2 linked regions of the Tribolium castaneum genome follow. The protein of the gene in region 1 interacts with the protein of each later gene in a biochemical or structural test. Links are inferred from orthologs where the notes say so. Each region holds a gene or a part of one and is shown in the gene's direction. Other genes may lie near its edges.

The links. The genes of interacting proteins can lie anywhere in the genome.
Region 2: the proteins of mor (region 1) and Bap111 form a complex in vitro, tested with the Drosophila melanogaster proteins (2 studies listed by BioGRID, with this or other methods). The link is inferred for Tribolium castaneum from reciprocal best matches to the Drosophila melanogaster genes mor and Bap111.

Annotation. Positions count from the first base shown.
Region 1 is NC_087395.1:15,650,449-15,655,389, forward strand, and holds the start of mor (SWI/SNF complex subunit SMARCC2), read left to right. Parts: upstream 1-1,753; 5' UTR 1,754-2,467; coding exon 2,468-2,584; intron 2,585-2,632; coding exon 2,633-2,866; intron 2,867-4,777; coding exon 4,778-4,941.
Region 2 is NC_087402.1:571,362-576,302, forward strand, and holds the start of Bap111 (SWI/SNF-related matrix-associated actin-dependent regulator of chromatin subfamily E member 1), read left to right. Parts: upstream 1-1,996; 5' UTR 1,997-2,110; coding exon 2,111-2,171; intron 2,172-2,519; coding exon 2,520-2,564; intron 2,565-2,612; exon of another isoform or gene 2,613-2,873; intron 2,874-2,951; coding exon 2,952-2,992; intron 2,993-4,251; exon of another isoform or gene 4,252-4,357; intron 4,358-4,418; exon of another isoform or gene 4,419-4,697; intron 4,698-4,725; coding exon 4,726-4,815; intron 4,816-4,878; exon of another isoform or gene 4,879-4,932; coding exon of another isoform or gene 4,933-4,941.

The DNA of each region.
Region 1 (4,941 bases):
CACAAAAATCCGCTAAATTTGATCCGAAAAGTAAGTAAGTACTACATTTATTTTGTTTGTAAACAACGTTTCTGACTCAAAATGTGCTAAATTTTGAGTCAGAAACGTTGTTTACCAAATTTTCGCGAAAAATTAGCTGAAAAATCTCAAAATTACCTACTTCAAAAAAAGAGCTTTTCATCACTAATAAAAAATAAAAATATTTTTAATCAGAATTTTGCTAAATCTGGCTGAAAAATGAATAAATTAAATCGAAAATGATACAATTTTACCATTTCTACGTTATATAACACGGTTTTTTTTCCAGGAACGCAATTATTCCGATAACTGTATCACCGAGGTTTGAAAAATCACATAACTGTATCAAAAATTTTGACTCGGCTTTATATTTGAACAGCTTGTTTGTCCAAAAATGCTAATAATATTTTGCAAAATTTTGATAAAATAAAATCAATTAAACGCCAAACCTTAAAAAAAATTTCAAAAATCTTTGTATTTAATAGAATAGGGTGTACTTTTTAGCGTTTATAGACCCATTTGCAATAAAATCTCAGTTAAAGTTACCATTTTCAAAATGGATTGTATTAAATTTTTAGCCCTTTTCTTATTGACCACCTAAAGTTTTTTTTTTGTGGATCCTTTTTGCCTCTCCGTCCATATATTTCACGGTCCGTAGAGCCGGCTCTGTATTATAATAAATAATAAATAATTTTTGTGATCCAATTTTTGAAAACATTTTATTTTGGGGTGAAATAACTTCTAAACGCTTGATTTTTTTGTAAAAGAAAAATCTCTGTTAGAACTGAACTCTACTGACAATATTTCAAACAAGATGCTCTATTTCATGAAGAAAAAATATTATGAAAAGTGATAAAAAATGATCCTTTTTTTAACTGATTGTTTTTTTAACGAATCACCCTGGATGTTAGAAAACAAACAAAAAAACTAGTAAATCCGAAAACAGGTCAATTTTTATTTACAGGGGACACCTGTTAGTGTCCTTTCGAAATTTGTAGCACCTACCTCTTTTGTATTAAAAAATTAAAAACAACACCTTCACAATTCGAAATACCTCAAATGAAAGGTATTTTGACAAGGAATTTAGGCTTTTTTAGTGTTTTTTTTTTTTAGTTGAGCTAGACCTAAAAACTAGGAAAATTTTTCTAATAAAGTCGCGAACTTAAATATCAGTCAACACAGGACACACAAGAAAGTTAACGCCAGATAGGGGAATGGTAAAATATAATAAAAAAAAATAAAGCTAATGTAAAAAAAATATTATAAACTATATTAATTATAAAATCATTTACCAATTTCAGCAAAACTATTCTGTAAAACTATAAATATGATTTTTTTCTGATGTTAGCTTATAAAAAAAAATGGCTTCTCAACGTTTCTGCGCTTTCTCCATCCATGAATGAACTATTCACAGTTACGTAAGTTTTAATTATAATTTAAAACAATCTAGAGACGAGGCGGTCTAATAATAATACTCTAAGCGCTCGTTTTTATTTTTAAGCTTTTTTCTGAACCGAATACCTAGTATAGGCGTCAGCTTTGTTAATTTGTAACTTTTACCCAAGTGACGTTAATAGAAGCAAAAATTTGGTTTGTATATCCTATGCTAGTAAGCTAGTATGTTCTCATTTTTGGTGCTTCATTACTTCAATATTGTGTATAAACATGTCGTGATAACGGAATTAGGAAAAAGGGAGGAGAATTGAATTAGATCACAAAGAGGTAAGTTTTTGTAACTGTTTTTTTTTCCTTGCCAAAAAATTTCAGTGCACGCCACTGCTGCGAGCTCATTCGTGCACCGGAACGTAACGCGGGGATTGTTTGTTTGTTTGCACATGAGCCAAACCAGAGATCACGTTCAAAGTAACGTGGAGACCCACGTGATCCCTACCTATTACACCTATCAGAGCGAAACTTTTGGCCACGGGGGCGAGGTACCCGAGCCCCAAAACTGGCAGTTTCGCCCCCGTTTGAGGCCCAGCATAAGCCCGTCGAGCTTCAGACAACGCGAAGACCCGATTTTTTTCGGAAATGCCTCAGCTGCGGTCACGTTTCACGTGAGCTGTTAGGTAACGCCAGGAAAATTCACGACCGCTCATTTCACACGTTTCGGCTTACATAAGTTGTTTTGATCTGTTATTTCCCTACATGTGAACGTTTCCAGTCCATGACAGTGAACGTGCATCGGCCCGTGAAGCGTGGGCACGTGTTGCAAACACGCTCACGCTCGAAATTCAAATTTCCCGCCCCGGATAACGTATTACTGGTTGCCCATACTTCGCATTTTGACAATTGACATTATTGTGATATTCAAGCGTCGGTTTATTTCGCTAAATTTACGCTATTTATTTGTATATTTCTGTAAAGTTTACCAAAGTAATGTACAATTTAGTTAAGTCTCAGTAATACGGTAGTTTCGTAAGTCGGGAATTATTCTTCTGTGGGCAAAATGATGGGCTACGGCCCCAAAAAGGACGGCGGTCCTAACGTGAAATACTTCGAATCGCCGGAAACCCTCGCGGCCCTCGAGCTTGTGAGGCAGTGGCTGCAGAAGAATGGCAAAAAGGTGAGGTTCTGAGCGCTGTGAGTGCCCCCATCATTGTGGTTGTTTCAGTATTTTCAAGCCGAACCTGTCACTAATAAGAGTCTCTCCATGTTGGTTTTGCAATTGATGCAATTCCAGGAGGACTTTTTGGGCAAAAATGTGCAAAAGCCGCCCATGATCCGCATCCCGGTGCGGTATTTTATGGATTTTAAGCCCGGGGGCGCCTTGTGCCACATGCTGTTGGCGGCGTACAAGTTCAAGAGCGAGCACAATTGGCGCCGGTTTGAGATACCAACAGGCAAAGTGAGTATCCTGTCTTAAAACTTTGGCGTAAAATAGTATTTTCCATAATTATTTCTTTTTCTGTACGGTGGAACCTACAAATTTTGGTTTGAAACTCAGCTAAATTTGTAACCCTATTTTGCTAATTGATCATCTTATGACCAAAAATATCGGTCATAAATATGTCTGTCTAACGTAAAATTGTCGAAGGATTCCAAATCTGTCCTCATTTTTCTTCTACGATTTGTAGTTTTGGAGATATTAGATGATTTCCATTTTTCTAGTTAGCAAAAATTTAAAAAAGTAGAAATAGATCTATTCGTAACAACGACTTGTAGCCCTCTTTACTAATGAATTATCTGTTTTTGAGGAAAATTTTGTAACAATCCAGTCAAAATTGTGCAATTAATCCGGATAAAATAACTTGGTTAAAATTTTAATTTACTTATCTGTCAATAAAAAAATACTAAGATCGCAATAACCAAAAATATAGGTCATAAATATGTCTGTTCTGATAAATCTGTTCTGATTTTTGTTTTACGATTCGTAGTTTCGGAGATATTAACTGATGTATGGTGATTTCCATTTTTTTAGTTACCAAAAATAAAAAAATAGAAATACTAGATCTGGTCGTAAAAACGACTTGTAACCCTCTTTGCTAATTAATTACCTATTCCTGTGCAAAATTTAGTAACAATAGATTCAAAATTGTGCAAATAATTTGAATAAAACAAGTTGGTGAAATTTTTTATTTACTTATCTGGCAATAAAAAAATCATCAAGATCACAATAACCAAAAATACAGGTAAAAATTACGTCTAGCTGACGTAAAATTGTCTGAGGATTCCCAGTCTCTCCTGATTTTTGTTCTATGATTGGTAGTTTTGGAGATATTAGACAATATACGGTCGATTTCCATTTTTACAAGCTACCAAAAATAAAAAAAAATCTATCTAATCTAAAATTGTCTGAGGATTCCGAATCTCTCCTCATTTTTGTTCTATGATTCGTGGTTTGGAAGATATTTTAGATGATATCCGGTCGATTTCTATGTTTCCAATCTACAAAAAATAAAATAAAAAGAATTAAAACTACTCGTAAAAATGACTTGTAGCCCTCTTTACTAATCAACTATCTAGTCCTGCACAAAATTTAGTGAAAATCTAATGAAAATTCTGAAAATAATCCGAACAAAACAACTTGGTCAAAATTTTGATTTACTTTTCTGCAAATAAAAAAATCATCAAGATCACAATAACCAAAAATATCGGTCAAAAATATGACCATCTAACGTAAAATTGTCTGAGGATTCCAAATTTTTCCTCATTTTTGTTCTACGATTCGTAGTTTTGAAGATATTTTAGACGATATACGGCGGATTTCCATTTTTCCAGTCTACCAAAAATAAAAACAAATAAAATAAATCTACTTTTAAAAACGACTTGTAGCCCTCTTTACTAATTAATTACCTATTCTTGCACAAAATTTAGTAACAATCGGGTCAAAATTCTGAATATAAATCGAATAAAACAACTTAATCAAAATTTTGATTTACTTATCTGCCAATAAAAAAATAATCAAGGTCACAATAATCAAAAATATAGGTCAAAAATATGCCTCTCTTACGTAAAATTGACTGAGGATTCCGTATCTGTCCTCACGTTTGTTTTATAATTCGTAGTTTTGGATGTTTTAATTTTTCCAGTTTGCCAAAAATTACGAAAAAGTGATCTACACGTAAAACGACTCGGAGCCCCATTTACTAATTAATTATTTGTTCCTGAGCAAACTAATTAGAATTTAATGCTCTATCTGCCTGTATTTTTTTTGTTTCTATTATGCTAACCGTTACACAAATAAATCATTTTTTCAAATTCATTGCTCTGAAAACTTAGATGGTAATGGAACATTTTATTTGTTTTTTGATAACAGAGCACGGGCAAGCTGGAGCGCGTGTTCGAGATGTTGAAGTGCATGGAGAAGGTCTTGGTCCAGAACCGCTTCTACACCGTTCCGTCTGTCTACATCCGGCCCGAAATCGACAAGAATCTCGCCGCCAAATTACGCGAAATCGTGTGCCGCAAAATGGCTCAAGT
Region 2 (4,941 bases), on another chromosome or scaffold:
CTAGAAAGGTTTTCGAACCTTTGGTTATCGAATGCAAAAAAATTATTCACTTAATATAAAGAGTTTAAGAACTGTGATATTTTAAATAAACTCCTGTAAATGAAAATTTTAACAAGAAAATTGACATATGTCTAAAACTATGACAGATAGGTGCCAACAACTTAAATAAATTTTACTCAGTTTAAAAAGGTGAATTCAAAAATGCAGTAAAAATGTATGGTTATTATTTAAAATTTCAAAGTTGTCGTAAATTTTTTGTAGTTTCGGAAGCTTAACCATTTTGAAGAAATGGTCAATTTAGATCGTATACAAAGTTTTAAAGCTCTGGCTATTAACGACGTTTATTTGACAATTGTCACTCGGCTGTTACTTGACATCATACAACTAGATTTGATTAACTATTATTTTTTTTAATTTTGTGAATTTTTTAAATAGTATTTTTTAGTATAAAAAATAATATCTACCAAATTATAAAAAGAAAAATATAGATTACAATTTAAAAGAAACTAGTGGAATACAGCCCAAAATATACTATGATATTTAGAAAATTTTTAAAAGCACCAGCTTATACTACATTAAAAGCGGTTTAAATACCTTTTTTAATTTTTAAAATCGGGCCGTAACTAAAAATTCTATAGAGCCTGACGATTTTAAAACATCACCTTTTACATTAGATTAAAAACGCACTGAAATTGATTTAAAATAATTTTACCACTGTTATTAAAATTTTTCCCGAATTGTAGGAGTTCCTTGTTTTTATTTTTTTAATAATTAATTCGGACTTTATTTATTTATGATTGATTCTTTCTTGAAGAGCTATCAAGTGATCCTAAAATTTCTGCATTAACTTGTCTTTTGATTTTTTATTACAAATTACAAAGGAACATAATTTTGGAAAATTGTAGTATTTCGCGAGAAAAATATGTGATTGAGTGTTTTTTTACCTAAATTACATTAGGAAAAGTCCGTCCGTTCGCACCCAAATGAACCGGATCACAATTCAGTCGAAACTGAGTCACACAGTGAGCGTCGCGACGCTATTGATTTGGAACTAGAATACGTCATCCACCTACGATAATGTACCCGATTTATGTTCGAAAAATGTACCACGCGGTACAACAATGAATGAAAAATACTTTTAAAAAATCGCCCGATTATGTTTCTAAAAATATCTCAATTGTCGCGTTGCTTTATTGAAAAATTGCAGTCGTTGTTTAAGTTTCTTGGGGATTTGAAAAGGGTAGTATTACTCACTTTTTAGGCCTCATATCACATCAAGCATTCAGACTGAAATCGCACCGAAAAATAAAACAGTTACATTGTCTATTAAAACACGAATTGATTTATTTGAGAAATTTTTTACTTGAAGACGGCTTTCCAAAGGGCTATGGCGTTCACTGGATGGATCCAGGCAACCGGTATTGATTATGCGCAGAAATGATGGCAGTGTATCACAAAATTCGAAAATTTGATTAGAGTGGCAAAAAAATGACAAACTCAATTGTGGCATTACATTTACAAAATTGTACATTTGTGTGACATGTAATTTCTTTCAGCAAATAACATTAATGGAATTGGAATTTTCGAATTTTTTAGGGAGTTGCGTAGCGTCACGTTGGCGTCAACAAAATCAAATAAAATATTGTATGTCTCACGGGTGGTGATGAAATTATGAATTAAAGAAAAAATAGTTCTAACATTATTTTGAATTTTTTTTTTTTTGAAATATGGCGCCAATTATATTATCAAAAACAAAAAAATTGCACTAAAACGTGTGATTTTGATCGCAATAAAAAAATAGGAAATAATTTTTGAACTTTGGCCCAGCTTAGTAAATCGCTTGATTTTGAGCTGGCAAATCTTTGGTGTGTTTTTTGTACTCTTGTAAATGCTTTTTGATGGGTTTTTTGTAATGGAAACAAAATATTGTTTGAATTTTCCGCTTTTTGTATCGTAGGTGGCGCTTTGCTGGAAAATAGAGAGAGAACGACTTGCATCTTTCTCCAATTCGTTGTCAGTTGTCAACATGGCGTCATTTGTGTAAAAAGTGTTGTGTATTTTAAAAGAATCTCAATTTTAGATCTAATTTAATTAGTGTGTGTGTGAAAAAATGGCTCTTCCAGCCAATTACAAGCAAGTAGCGATGCAAATGCCTAGCCCTCAAACAAACCGTAAGACAAAGTTGCAAGAAAATGCATTTTTCCAAATAATATCTATTATTCTGACGTTATTACTATAATTTGACGCGAATTGCTGTAGATTTTCCAGTTAGTTTTTGAAAATGTTCGAGTAAAATCCAGTAAAGGAGCTTGCCGTTCGCATGAGTATTTTTGTAAGACGCTATTTATTATTTTTGAATTATTGATGACAAGTCATAATAGCATGAACTAGGTTATTCTAAGCTAAATGCTATGGTTTATAAATTATTTTTTCCACTAACACCCGCATTTATAAACCATAGTAGACTCTTTTTTTGTAGAATAGTGCTGATGATTGCTTTGTTTGTGTTTGTTGTTCAGATTTGCTGTCGGCAGGCGTGCCCATGACTTTCAACATATTGAAAGGTAACTGCAATCTTCGTTTTATTAACATTTTACAGAAGTTTCAAACATTCTTCTAAAATAATTAAGCTTTGCTTCTTTCCATCATCATCAATCAATTCAATGGAAAAGAAGAAAACTGTAATTACAGTTTTCTACTTTTTTTTTGACCAATTGGTGGCAACAAAAAATGTTGCCAACTCGATTTCGTAGTCAGGGCGGAGAATGTCAGTAGAATTTAAATTAGCTAAATTTTGCTCTAGGCTTATTACTTATAGTAGTTGCACTTTAACAAGGTTTTTCATTCATTTGCTCTCATTTTTAATAGTTAAGGTAAGTAGTGGTGTTTTGAGTCATTGTTGCACGTTTCGTTTGAGGTAAAATCGAAATGAAAAATAATTTTTATTCTAGAGCGTTTGAGAGCGTCTGGAGGGTCCGGATCTGGATCAAATGTAAGTTTTAATTTTTTTTGGGTTGTTTCTTATCTGTAGAGAAGGATTCTTGGGAAGATAAAGAAATTATTTTGTACATTTTTTATTAATTCCTACTGCAGGAAAATTAAAAGCAATAATTCTGAGATCTCAGTGACTTAGTGAAACACATAAAAACATTAAAAAAAATTATGTAAATATTGTCTTAATGTAGTAATTTTTCAAACTGTTTTTTGATTTTGAGCACATTTTTTACAAAAATTTGAGAAAAAATTGTATATGATTAAAAAAAAGACAAAATCGTAATGTTATTCTGATCCGATTTCGTGATTTTTTCGATCATTTTTAATAAAATCTGAAACAGATAATCGAGAATTTATATAAAACTACTGTGTTCAATCAATTTATATTTTTTTGCTTTATTTTTGACAGAAAAACCTGTAAAATTGAGTGAAATAAATAAAATATCAATTTCGATCTGATTTCCTGACTGTAAAAGTCTTGCTTAAATAATAAATATTTACTTTTTTAACAAAAGAAATTTCTTTCGAGTTTTCCTGGTTAGTAAAGTTTCCCAAAATCGGGTTTCTATGGCTATTTGTTCTTCAAGTTAGAGTTCCTATATTGGGAGAGTTGGGACACTGAACGTCAAACCGAGCCAATTTTGTATTATGTGGATAAGGTATATATTTCTATCCTTTTTTATTAAAATTTTTGTTAGTAACTTATGTCAGAGGTTTATGTTGAAAATAATTTCAAGGTTATAATTTTTGTCAAATGCATAAAATGACATAATTTTACGTCAAATTAAATCAGGGACGTAGAAAACGTAGAAATTTTGGGATTACTATTTAAAAAAAGAAAATAATTGAATACCTATCAATATTAATGTTCACATTTCTGAAATTTTTCAATATTTATTTTAATATTAAATACATAACTTAAAACATACTTCAATGCTAAAAATGCTTTTCTTTCAATCACAATTTTTAGTTAAACATCTCGTCCCAAAAATTGGTCATCAAGAACCCTTCATATTTCCTGACGTCTTTTTAAATTTTCTAAAAAATGATATTGAAGATGTTCTCGTATGAAAAACGTAACAACATCGTGAATTCCCAATAACTTTATAATTTGAAACAGTAGCTAAAGTTCACGTAGATGGCGGCCAAGCAGTAACAGGTTCAACTTTCCTAAAAATTAGAACCAATTTTGGGTTCAAGTACCTACGTCTTTTGTAAATGCATAGACAAATTCCCAAAATCTCATAAATTTTGTACATAACATTATTTCGACAATCCACTTTTCCAAATGCTTGTTAATAATAAACGTAAAACTTGGCAGGAAAGGTTCAGTTTCTCTCTCTTTCATCGATGATTACCATTTCTTAAAATTAAGGAAAAAATGTTTATGATGAAGAATTTAGACGTAAAATTCTTGTACTTACAAAGAAATCTCTTTTAAAATTTGGAGTTTATATAAAAAAAACAGTGAATTGACGACGACTGCCAGTCTAAACCATTTCTAAACGCAGTTAGTCGACGAAAAATGGAGACATTTTTTGACAAATTTATTTGACTTTTCGCCAAATTTCAAGTGTAACACCACTGATTTCTATCCCAATTTGTTTTTTTATACATTCCAACCGACGTATATGAAACAAAATTTCGAAAATCGACATTCAGTGTCCCAACTCTCCCAATATAGGAACTCTACTTCAAGTTACGTAAAATACAGGTCAATAAATCCTGCAGTTATTTTTACAGAAAGAAACAAGTCCGTTTGTAACAACGCCGAATGGCCATCCTGGGTTTTTACCACAAAAAGTGGGAAAGAGTTCGTCGGTAAGTATTTCTATCTTTCTCACAAACCCAACTTATCTACTGATAATTCTCACTTTATCTAGAACAAATAATATTTACGTATCTAAAAATTGTTCTTTTCCCTACAATTTAAGCGTGATGCAGCAC